Tribolium castaneum: one gene and its partner. The protein of the gene in region 1 interacts with the protein of each later gene in a pairwise test. Links are inferred from orthologs where the notes say so. Each region holds a gene or a part of one and is shown on either strand. Other genes may lie near its edges.

Region 1 (4,532 bases):
GTCCCTGATGTTGCAACGGCATCATCGGAAACGGACTGTTTGAAGGACCAGCACCCAAAATCCGCGAAGGAGACCCGGGAGACTGCACTAGCGGCCCGAGTCCCCCTTGCAAATTAAACGCCGAACTAGTGGGCCCCGACATTGTCATGCTGGCCAAATTCGTGGTCAAACCGGGAATAGTATCGACAGCAGAGTGGTTGTAAAGCTGTCCCGACATTGCCGAAACACTGAACGGGCCTTCAACGCCCCTGGACCTAACAAGAGCCGGCTGTTGACGCGATTTCAGTAAAATACTGCAACCGGTGGTGACGTTGATTATCGCCTCTTGGCACTCGGGACTGACGCTGTTCATGCAAGATTGCAAACAAATCATAATCGTGGTCAAAGTTTCGTTGGGTAGGGACGAAGCTTTGGTCATAGCGTCGTCACTTTTGCCCAGGATTTGCGGGCAACGGCGGTGCAAAAACTTGACGCAAGCTTGGACAAAAGGCTCGCCGTGTTCTCTGATTTTATCCGAGAGCCACTTTTCCAGCTTGAGGTACTCACGTCTGGATGCAAGACAAGCCAAGTCGATGATGAACGGATAAGATTGTTGGTTTTGGGCGTTTAGGAGCATTGAGAGGGCTTTCAGGTCTTGGGCAACGTCCAGAATTCGGGACAGTCTCGTTTGATCGCAGTCGCTTCGCACATACCATTCGGCCATGGCATGCATTATTATGGATTTGATATTGATGTTGGTGGTGTGCCAGGCATGGTGTAGTATTATGGCAGAGTTTGGGTGATTCAGGAGAAAGATTGGGATCAAGTTGGAGAGTAATTCTTGTCTGAGGAGCGTTACAGGCCCTTGTATTTGTAACAATGCGAGGACTAAGACATCAGGACAGTTGTGCATTGGATATTTGAACAGTTCTTGAACGTAAGTGAACAAGCCACATTCAGACATGTGCAGGAGCAACTCGACCAGATTTAACGATCTCCAATTGGCCAGTTCCTTGCTGTCTTGTTCCGGTGGTGTTTTGAGAACGTCAACACTGACGGTCATCGCGGGATAGTCAGCAAAACAGAACACATCTGGATTTTTGAGAACATGTTGAACGAGACTGAACTGCCCCTCGACGTTCGTCCATCTCTTATAAAATTGGTCAATTGGAAAAGTTTCCGGGTGGAATCCCAGCGTCTGGAGGCCATGTCGAAGTGCACTTATTAGAATAATGAGTCCTTGTCTATCTTTAATAATAAATTCGGGATGGTCCAACTCGGCCACAGTGTTGGCCCATTGAAAGTTCGGCACGACCTCTTTCAACGCCTGGACGAAAACCTCCACGTTCCAAGTGCGCCCCTCATTGCCCTTATTAAAACTGCCTGGCGATTGTAGACTGAGTGAATCTTCAAGGCCACTGTGTGTTCGGCACATAACGGTAAGGATCCGAGCGACTGTTGCAGGGGTGATGTCGCGTCCCCCAAGCTTCATCAAGTTGTTCCGACATTCTTCCACCGACGAAGTAAAACCGAAACCGATCTCAGCCACCAGATCGGCCAGCGAAGTCTCTAACATGCCCCCGGATAAACCGGGGCCTTCGGATGACATTTCCGGCGACAATTCACAATGTTCGGGGTAAACTAACGGTGCTAACACTACGGGAACGAGGTCTTTGGGGAAGTCGCGCTGGAGAGTGTCGAGAAACGCCCGGTGCGCGTTGTTGGTGAGCCCAACGTCTTTGGGGGCTTTCAGAACAGCGGAGAGGATCAAGTGGAGGACCTCGGGGGTGGTCTCGTGGAGGCCCCCTTCGTGCTGGCGGGTGCTGCCTTCAGTCTCGATATACGACTGGATGAGAGTCGGAACCGTTAACCGTAAATGTGCCTGGGCTAAAGACGAAACTTCCTGGTTTGAAGAGTGGCGAAGGGCGAGAGCGAAAACGACTTCCTGGACAGCTGAGAGGCGAAGGCACTTGCTCAACTGCTGGAAGAACTGGGGTCCGAATTTGAAAGCCTGTAACGGAACCGCTGCAGAAAAAGTGACCCACCGAAGCGGTTTTGTTACCTTGTTGGTGCTCAATGGATTGTCTGTGATGTAGCAAACAGACGTCAGCAGCGAGGGTTTGTTCAACAAGTTCGAACACTGCTCTAACAATGCTTGATTTTGGGGAGATGGAGCGGTTATTTTGCTTGTAGATTCAGAAAAGTCCACTGATGAAAATAGACATTGGAGCAAGTGACGGTCCGCCTCCAGACCATGCAAAGTTACCAACTATAAAACGAACGTTTGATCAAATTTAAAAGCTGTTTAAGTGATAAGAAGCACTCTGATAATCTGAATGACATTTTGCAAGAACGTGAACGAAAAAAATAATAACAATCAAAACACCTTTGTTCACCACAACATTGCTCGATCGGTAACTGTGCGTGACAGCTGGCATGGAAAAGATGGCCGATTTGTCAATCTGATAATTTTAGTCCACGCATTTGCAACGGTTCAAATTTTCCGCTACTCTTACCTTTGAGAGTTCGGCAACGACTTGCTTGTAGTTCTTTTTGGTTAATGATGCAACTAAATAACTTATTTGTGACAAGGTAAAAGACAACGAGTCTAGGTTCATAGTTCCATGAACACGGCCTCGAAAGCTTCAAATACTTTTGAAGCTTTCTTAGGTATGCACGGGGCTTTTATCCACAAAGTCTTATGTATTTTTGAAAAACAACTAAATTTTAAATGGTCCAAGACCATCATCGAATCTTTAATGTACTTTTCACCACTTTAATTTACCAGAATCATCTTTTGACTCACGCAACACACAACACATGCATCGAATAAAACATATGTATGAAACTACGCATGACCAACAACGAGCTCACTATCCTGAGGGGATGTGTGGTTATAGTTACGTGTATTTTGATTATTTTTCCAGAAAAGACGCGCAAAAAAAAACTACACCACCCGGAACACGCACGAAAATGGCAGGAAAACGTCAACTTTTCACATGTGCTTCGAAAGCCGAAGAAAACTAATGATCCGAATTTGAAACTGCAGCGGCACCTCACGTCATGAACGGTAAGTTCTACCCGCTCTTTTCACCCGAATTCAAAATAAAAACGTTATCTCCATTTACTTATCGCATGTTATCTTATCACTCAGTGTGAATAAAGGACAGATAAAAATAAAACGAACTGGCAAAGATATATTTCTTTATTTCTTAACTGTTCAAAATACAAATTGTAATTAAAACATGTAGAATATTGAAAATGAAGATGAAGCTTTCAGGATTTGCTATGCCTCTCAGCAACTATTTTCTTCATCTTTTCCTTATAAATATTTTCTATTAATTGAATCTGGAATAGAGATTGATTAAATAAACAAGAAATGCGTTACACGTAGCATGTTATTACCTCTCGGTCATTTAAAACCATTTTTTTCAGGACATTTTTCACGTTCTTGTTGGTCTGCTTTTCAATTTTTGTTGCATTATACATATACGCTTCCAAAAGGGACGCCCATCGCTTGTTTAAATCCTGTAATAAAACGATGAATTGCTCTTACTTGAAGAAAAAATCGGTACCTCAAAAGCTTTTTTATGGTTCGTGGCCAGTTTGTTATACTTGTCCAGAACCGCGATGTTGCTACTTTTATACGTTTTGCACTCCTGGATGAGGATGTGCAAGCGCTTGGCTAACTCAATGTTTTCCTTTTCTAAAGTTTCCATCTTACGCCCACATTCCTCCAAAACTGCAGCAAACTGTTTGCGATAATTTGCTTCCTGAATCTTCCACTTTTCCTTCTCCTTGTGATACAAATCGGACCGCTGTTGAATGACTTTCTTGTATTCCTCTTCGATTTTTTCCATTTTCTTTGAATTTTCTTCTTGCAACCGATCACGCAACAACAATTCGGTTTTCAAGAGCTGTGCTTGCAAACATTTTTGAAACACGTCGCTGGTCACAACTACAAGTTCAGGGATAGGAGTAGTAAATTTAAAACACAAACCTACTATCGCTGTTTCTTTTATCTTGTTCCAAACCACTTTCAACGTCTGACAACTCTTTGAATAACTTTTTCCGCACCACATCTTCATTTACTCCATTGACTGTCTTTTGCAAGTCTATGGTCTCCTGTTTTGCATCATTCAGCTGCTTCTGAGTGTTTTCCAGTTGTTTTTCAATCTCTAATTTATTTTGTTCCATCACTTTAATACATTTTTTATAATTGAGAATTTCGTCTTTCAATTTTTGAATAGTGTGCCCATTATCTACCGATTCTTTCAACAAATTGTTCCTGTTTTCAGTCAAAGCAGCAATTTCCTTTTTCATTTCGGCAATTTCATTAGTGCAGCGCCTCAGCTCATAGTCTAGGGCAAATTTTTCACCCTCTAACATAGTTTTGGCGTTTGTAAGGTCATCAACAGTGTCTTTCAATTCGGAATTTTTCACACCGTGTGTGAAACTCTCAATAAAATCGCTCAACATGTTGTCCCAAAGTTCCAGTTTTTCTCGGATTTGTTTAGCTTCGAGTTTATCGACGTGGAACGAATTGAGAAAAT
Region 2 (4,296 bases), on another chromosome or scaffold:
TTACCCATCACAAGACGACACATAATTATATGTTCGAGTAACATTAACTGGAAAACCGACAAAATCGGCTTATTATCTACAACTGTTAGAATTGTTGGACGTGTCAGATAAGTGTACAAAAACCAACTTTTCAATTTCTCGATTTGCATTAACGCCTTATCGGTGTATTTCTGGGCCTTTTCCATATAACCGGCCTGCATACTGTGCATCACAGTTACCAAATAAACCAAAACGTAGAGATGCTCTTTGGGCATCCATAAGAACATATCGCCAACACTTGGCCCTGTAAAAACATCATCCGTTGCCATTATTGTTTGTATGCTTTGTTGCAACTGCTTCAGGCAAGGTTTTACGCTTTTTACCTGACCGGCCATTAGACAATGGCACACCTGAAAATTGCTTTGAGCACAAAACCAATCAAATTGAGTAACGGACTTGCAACACCAAAAAATACACTCGGAGGTATTCCTTCTGGTACGCAGCGCCTGTCCAAGTTTCAATCAAGTGACCGGCTTGGTTTAATACTGGCTGGACTTCTTGCAACTTTTTGTCAATCAATAATAACTAAAATTACAATTTTAGCCCAATTTTGTGATTTAATTAAAGTCTTACCATTCCTTTACTTAAAAGAAACAAAACTCGAGTGTAACAAGCATTCGAGATGTGGGCATAATCCACCCCAACACCCAGCAGACTACTGGCCAACTGGTAGTCTTTCTCAGTTGCGTGAATTTGCTATAATTTTACAATTAAAATAGTTCTGCCAAATTGTATAATTAATTACCGCAAGCTGGAAAATTAGCCTGCAATGCCAGTAAACATTATGTTGCGACAACTCGATCGCTTTCCTCAAAATGGGCTTAGACAGCGAAATTTGCTGCTGTTGTTCGTACAATTCGGCCAAAACGCTCGCCGCTTCGAATTTAACATCGTCAAAGGTGTTGATCATTTGTGACAACAACCACTGAATTCAATCACGTCCAAATGAGTGTTAAATCAAGGGGCGCACTTACCGCTTGTTCCAAGTGGTTTTTCGCCAAGTCCGTGTTCTTGGTATGGGTCAAAAGTATGTTTCCGAGTTGTAAATGAGTGCGAGCTTCGACCCGCGGCGGTGGTTTAAAATTAAACACAGCCTGGAGGCACTGGATGCAGAGCTTGATCATAGGGGGGCTCGAGGTGCGGAAATGCTCGGCTAGCCCCAGGAGGGACAGGTACCAAGCGTCTTGGGACGAAGCCATCGCGAGGGATTGATTATTTTACACAAAATTCGCACCCAAACATGGTTTTTGCGCAAAATTGAAATATTTTGGGTCGACTGTCAAGCCAAACGCCAAACACCACACATGGGCGAAAATGCGGCGGTCGGGTCCGCATAAGGTCGAAAACTCCAACTCCCATTCATTGATTATTCTAATTAATCAACTTATTGATTATTTCAGTTGATTAGTTTATTGAATATTGCATTAAAAACTTTTTTCCTGCTTTTTATTTTTTTATTTTTGACGAAAAACACGGGTTTAGGTGTGTTTGGCCGACTAGATTTTTCGGTCTTATGGTGATAAATGTCAATGTCCGAATTGGGTTTATAGGTTAGAGTATATAAAATAAATTTCGTAAAAATAGGTGTTTTATTGCAAAACGATGGCCCTCACGGTGGAACAATGTGATATCTTACTCGAGTAAGACCAGTTCAATTTTGGCGCCCTTTTAATTCAGTTTTTGTAGTATTTTGGGTGAGACAAAGGTGAGAACCCACACTTTAGAAAGCCTTTCGAACGAGTTGCACAAAAAATTCGACTCTTGTGACTATTTTAAAGGTAAAAACCGCTATTTGATTACCCAAATAACTGTTTTTTTCAGTCGGAACTTGTCTGGTAATGATGCTTCAGCAAGATCTGTTGAAAGAGCCTGAGCAAAAACTTGTTGCTATAACGCTTCTGTATGAGTTATATCGGGGCGAAGCTCTGGCAAACACCCCTTTTGCCAACGTTTTCAACCACCTTTTGGTTTGTAATCACAGAAATTTAGTAATTGTAACATAGAAATTATCCTAGCACCCCCCGGAACACCAGAGTAGTGTCGGGTCCCCCAAACAGGAATATCCAGGCCAACTACCCAAACTGACACCACCAGAAAAACAATTCTTAACGCAACTGTTATCAGATGTGCCCAAAGATGCTGTAAGATTATCCAGGGCCTCCCCTGATAGGAAATTACTAAACGATTTTTTTTCTTCAAGATTTTGAAAAAAACAGCCACGCAAATAATCAATTCAGACGTTGGGAATACGCAAACAAATTTCGATTTTTCCGTTGTACAATTACTACTAGCCGAAAAACAGTCTGAATTGCCACACACTTGCAAAACAGGAATTCCTGTAGTTTTATCACTGCCTGAAAAAACTAACAATTATACGACAGAACGGAACGATTATGCAGCCCTTGTGAAAACTATAGCAACCGGTGATAACGCCCCCATTAATAAAGTGTACAAACCGGAATTTGTGACACTAGCACCGCCTTTGCTCAACACAGATGATGAAGTAAGGTTACATAATACAGCTTCTTTGTTTAATGCTATGGAGACGAAGGGAAATTTCCATTAATCAAGGAAGCTGTGATAATTTATTACTACCCTTGATTGTGTTTTTTAAGATGGTGTGGCTAAATCCGACAAACATCAAAGAACACACTGTAGCATATGACGTGACGATGTGTGTGCCTGACACAGCAGGCCAGGAGGCGAGACAATTGATGAACAAGGCGTACAAATCAGCGCTGTCTTTGCAACAGCAGCAACAACTGCTAGGCGAGCTGGAAAACGACTCAAAACTTGTGTACCACATTGGTTTGACTCCGTCCAAAGTATGAATCGAAATTTGGTGATTTTCGCTGATTTGAGTGCTTGCAGTTGCCCGAACTGGTGGAAAATAATCCACTTATCGCGATTGAAGTTTTGCTCAAGCTTATGCAATCGAAACAAATAACGGAATATTTCAGCGTTCTTGTCAACATGGAAATGTCGCTGCATTCCATGGAAGTGGTAAATCGGCTCACAACGACCGTGGATTTGCCCACAGAGTTTGTCCACTTGTACATTTCGAATTGCATATCGACTTGTGAGACTATCAAGGACCGTTATATGCAAAATCGGCTGGTTCGACTGGTTTGTGTGTTTCTCCAGTCGCTCATTCGCAACAAAATAATCAACGTCCAGGAGTTGTTTATCGAAGTTCAGGCGTTTTGTATCGAGTTTAGTCGCATTCGCGAAGCTGCCGCTTTGTTCAGGCTATTGAAACAGTTGGAGTCGGGGGAACAGATCGGACTTGTCTCCTCGCCAACGATAATGAAAGCAAAGCTCGAGGGTTGATTATTTAATGGAACTGTATCGTACAATGTGGCAGGCCGTGCTGTAATTTATCGACGATTTTTTCCCTCTCTTTGACGTACGGCAGATCGGCCAGAATCAGCTCTTTTAAGTTATTCAACGCGTTGAGGTGACTCAGCCCCGGCTCTGTTATATTCAAACACTCGGTGATTTGTAAATAAAGTAATGAGTTTTTTAAAACCGACAGCCCTTTCAACGCCTCATTCTCCAGATAGTAGCACTTGTGGAAAATGATTTTCCGGATGTGTTCGCACCCCACGAAATGGTCAAACCCGTAGTGCATTATGCTGGCTTCAGACGCGTTCACTTCCACGATGTGTAACCTAATCCTGTCGCTCGGCAGTTTGTTATAGTCTGTGAGAAACTCGTTGCAGTGCTCCCACTTGACGTGGGCCCCGTTCCGCAACAGCCACTCGGCACAAGACCTGTCAGGCCCCACTTGTTTCCGTCGTTCGTCGTCCACGCGGTTGAAGACGATGTTCAGCCAGTGGAAGAGGGTGCGCGTGTGGGGGATGAGCGGCCTTTGGAGGTGGCTGAGGCGAGTGAGGAGCATCTTATGTCAAGGTTTCCCCTTTGGTGACCTTCAGTTTATTTGTAAATAAAGCGCAGTGTTATGTAAATGAGACTTACACAAGCTTCCAAATAGTCGATCTTTCGCTCGAGAGTTGTCAACTTTTCGTTTAAAACGGCGAGTTTTGATCGACAAGATAAGTCTAAAAATAATTTTTGCGAGGTGTCAACAGTAAGGGGAAACTTACCGAAAGAATTGAGGAAATCGGTGATCTTTTTTATGCTGACGGTTATCACTTCGATGTATTCGCGGTTTACCCAGTCTTGTTGGATGGGCTTGGGGACTGTCTCTCCTCTAGGAGCAGCCATTTCCGCAAAAATACCGAAATTGTTGGTTAC

The links.
Region 2: the proteins of Not1 (region 1) and Not11 interact in binary tests that used the Homo sapiens proteins (3 or more experiments, as listed by UniProt). The link is inferred for Tribolium castaneum from reciprocal best matches to the Homo sapiens genes CNOT1 and CNOT11.

What each region holds. Positions count from the first base shown.
Region 1 is NC_087394.1:30,458,435-30,462,966, forward strand, and holds the start of Not1 (CCR4-NOT transcription complex subunit 1), read right to left. Parts: upstream 2,913-4,532; 5' UTR 2,598-2,912; coding exon 2,496-2,597; exon of another isoform or gene 2,431-2,495; intron 2,249-2,430; coding exon 1-2,248. Other genes in the region: putative leucine-rich repeat-containing protein DDB_G0290503, read right to left, coding at 3,256-3,327, 3,385-3,507, 3,555-3,937, 3,984-4,532.
Region 2 is NC_087396.1:20,954,707-20,959,002, forward strand, and holds Not11 (CCR4-NOT transcription complex subunit 11), read left to right. Parts: upstream 1-1,537; 5' UTR 1,538-1,641; coding exon 1,642-1,679; intron 1,680-1,725; coding exon 1,726-1,817; intron 1,818-1,860; coding exon 1,861-2,006; intron 2,007-2,054; coding exon 2,055-2,180; intron 2,181-2,239; coding exon 2,240-2,542; intron 2,543-2,654; coding exon 2,655-2,864; intron 2,865-2,910; coding exon 2,911-3,369; 3' UTR 3,370-3,373; downstream 3,374-4,296. Other genes in the region: MAU2 chromatid cohesion factor homolog, read right to left, coding at 1-389, 436-564, 613-735, 785-964, 1,014-1,238; ATP synthase subunit s, mitochondrial, read right to left, coding at 3,374-3,940; HSPC300 (probable protein BRICK1-B), read right to left, coding at 3,942-3,968, 4,018-4,100, 4,146-4,266. UniProt on the Homo sapiens protein: Component of the CCR4-NOT complex which is one of the major cellular mRNA deadenylases and is linked to various cellular processes including bulk mRNA degradation, miRNA-mediated repression, translational repression during translational initiation and general transcription regulation.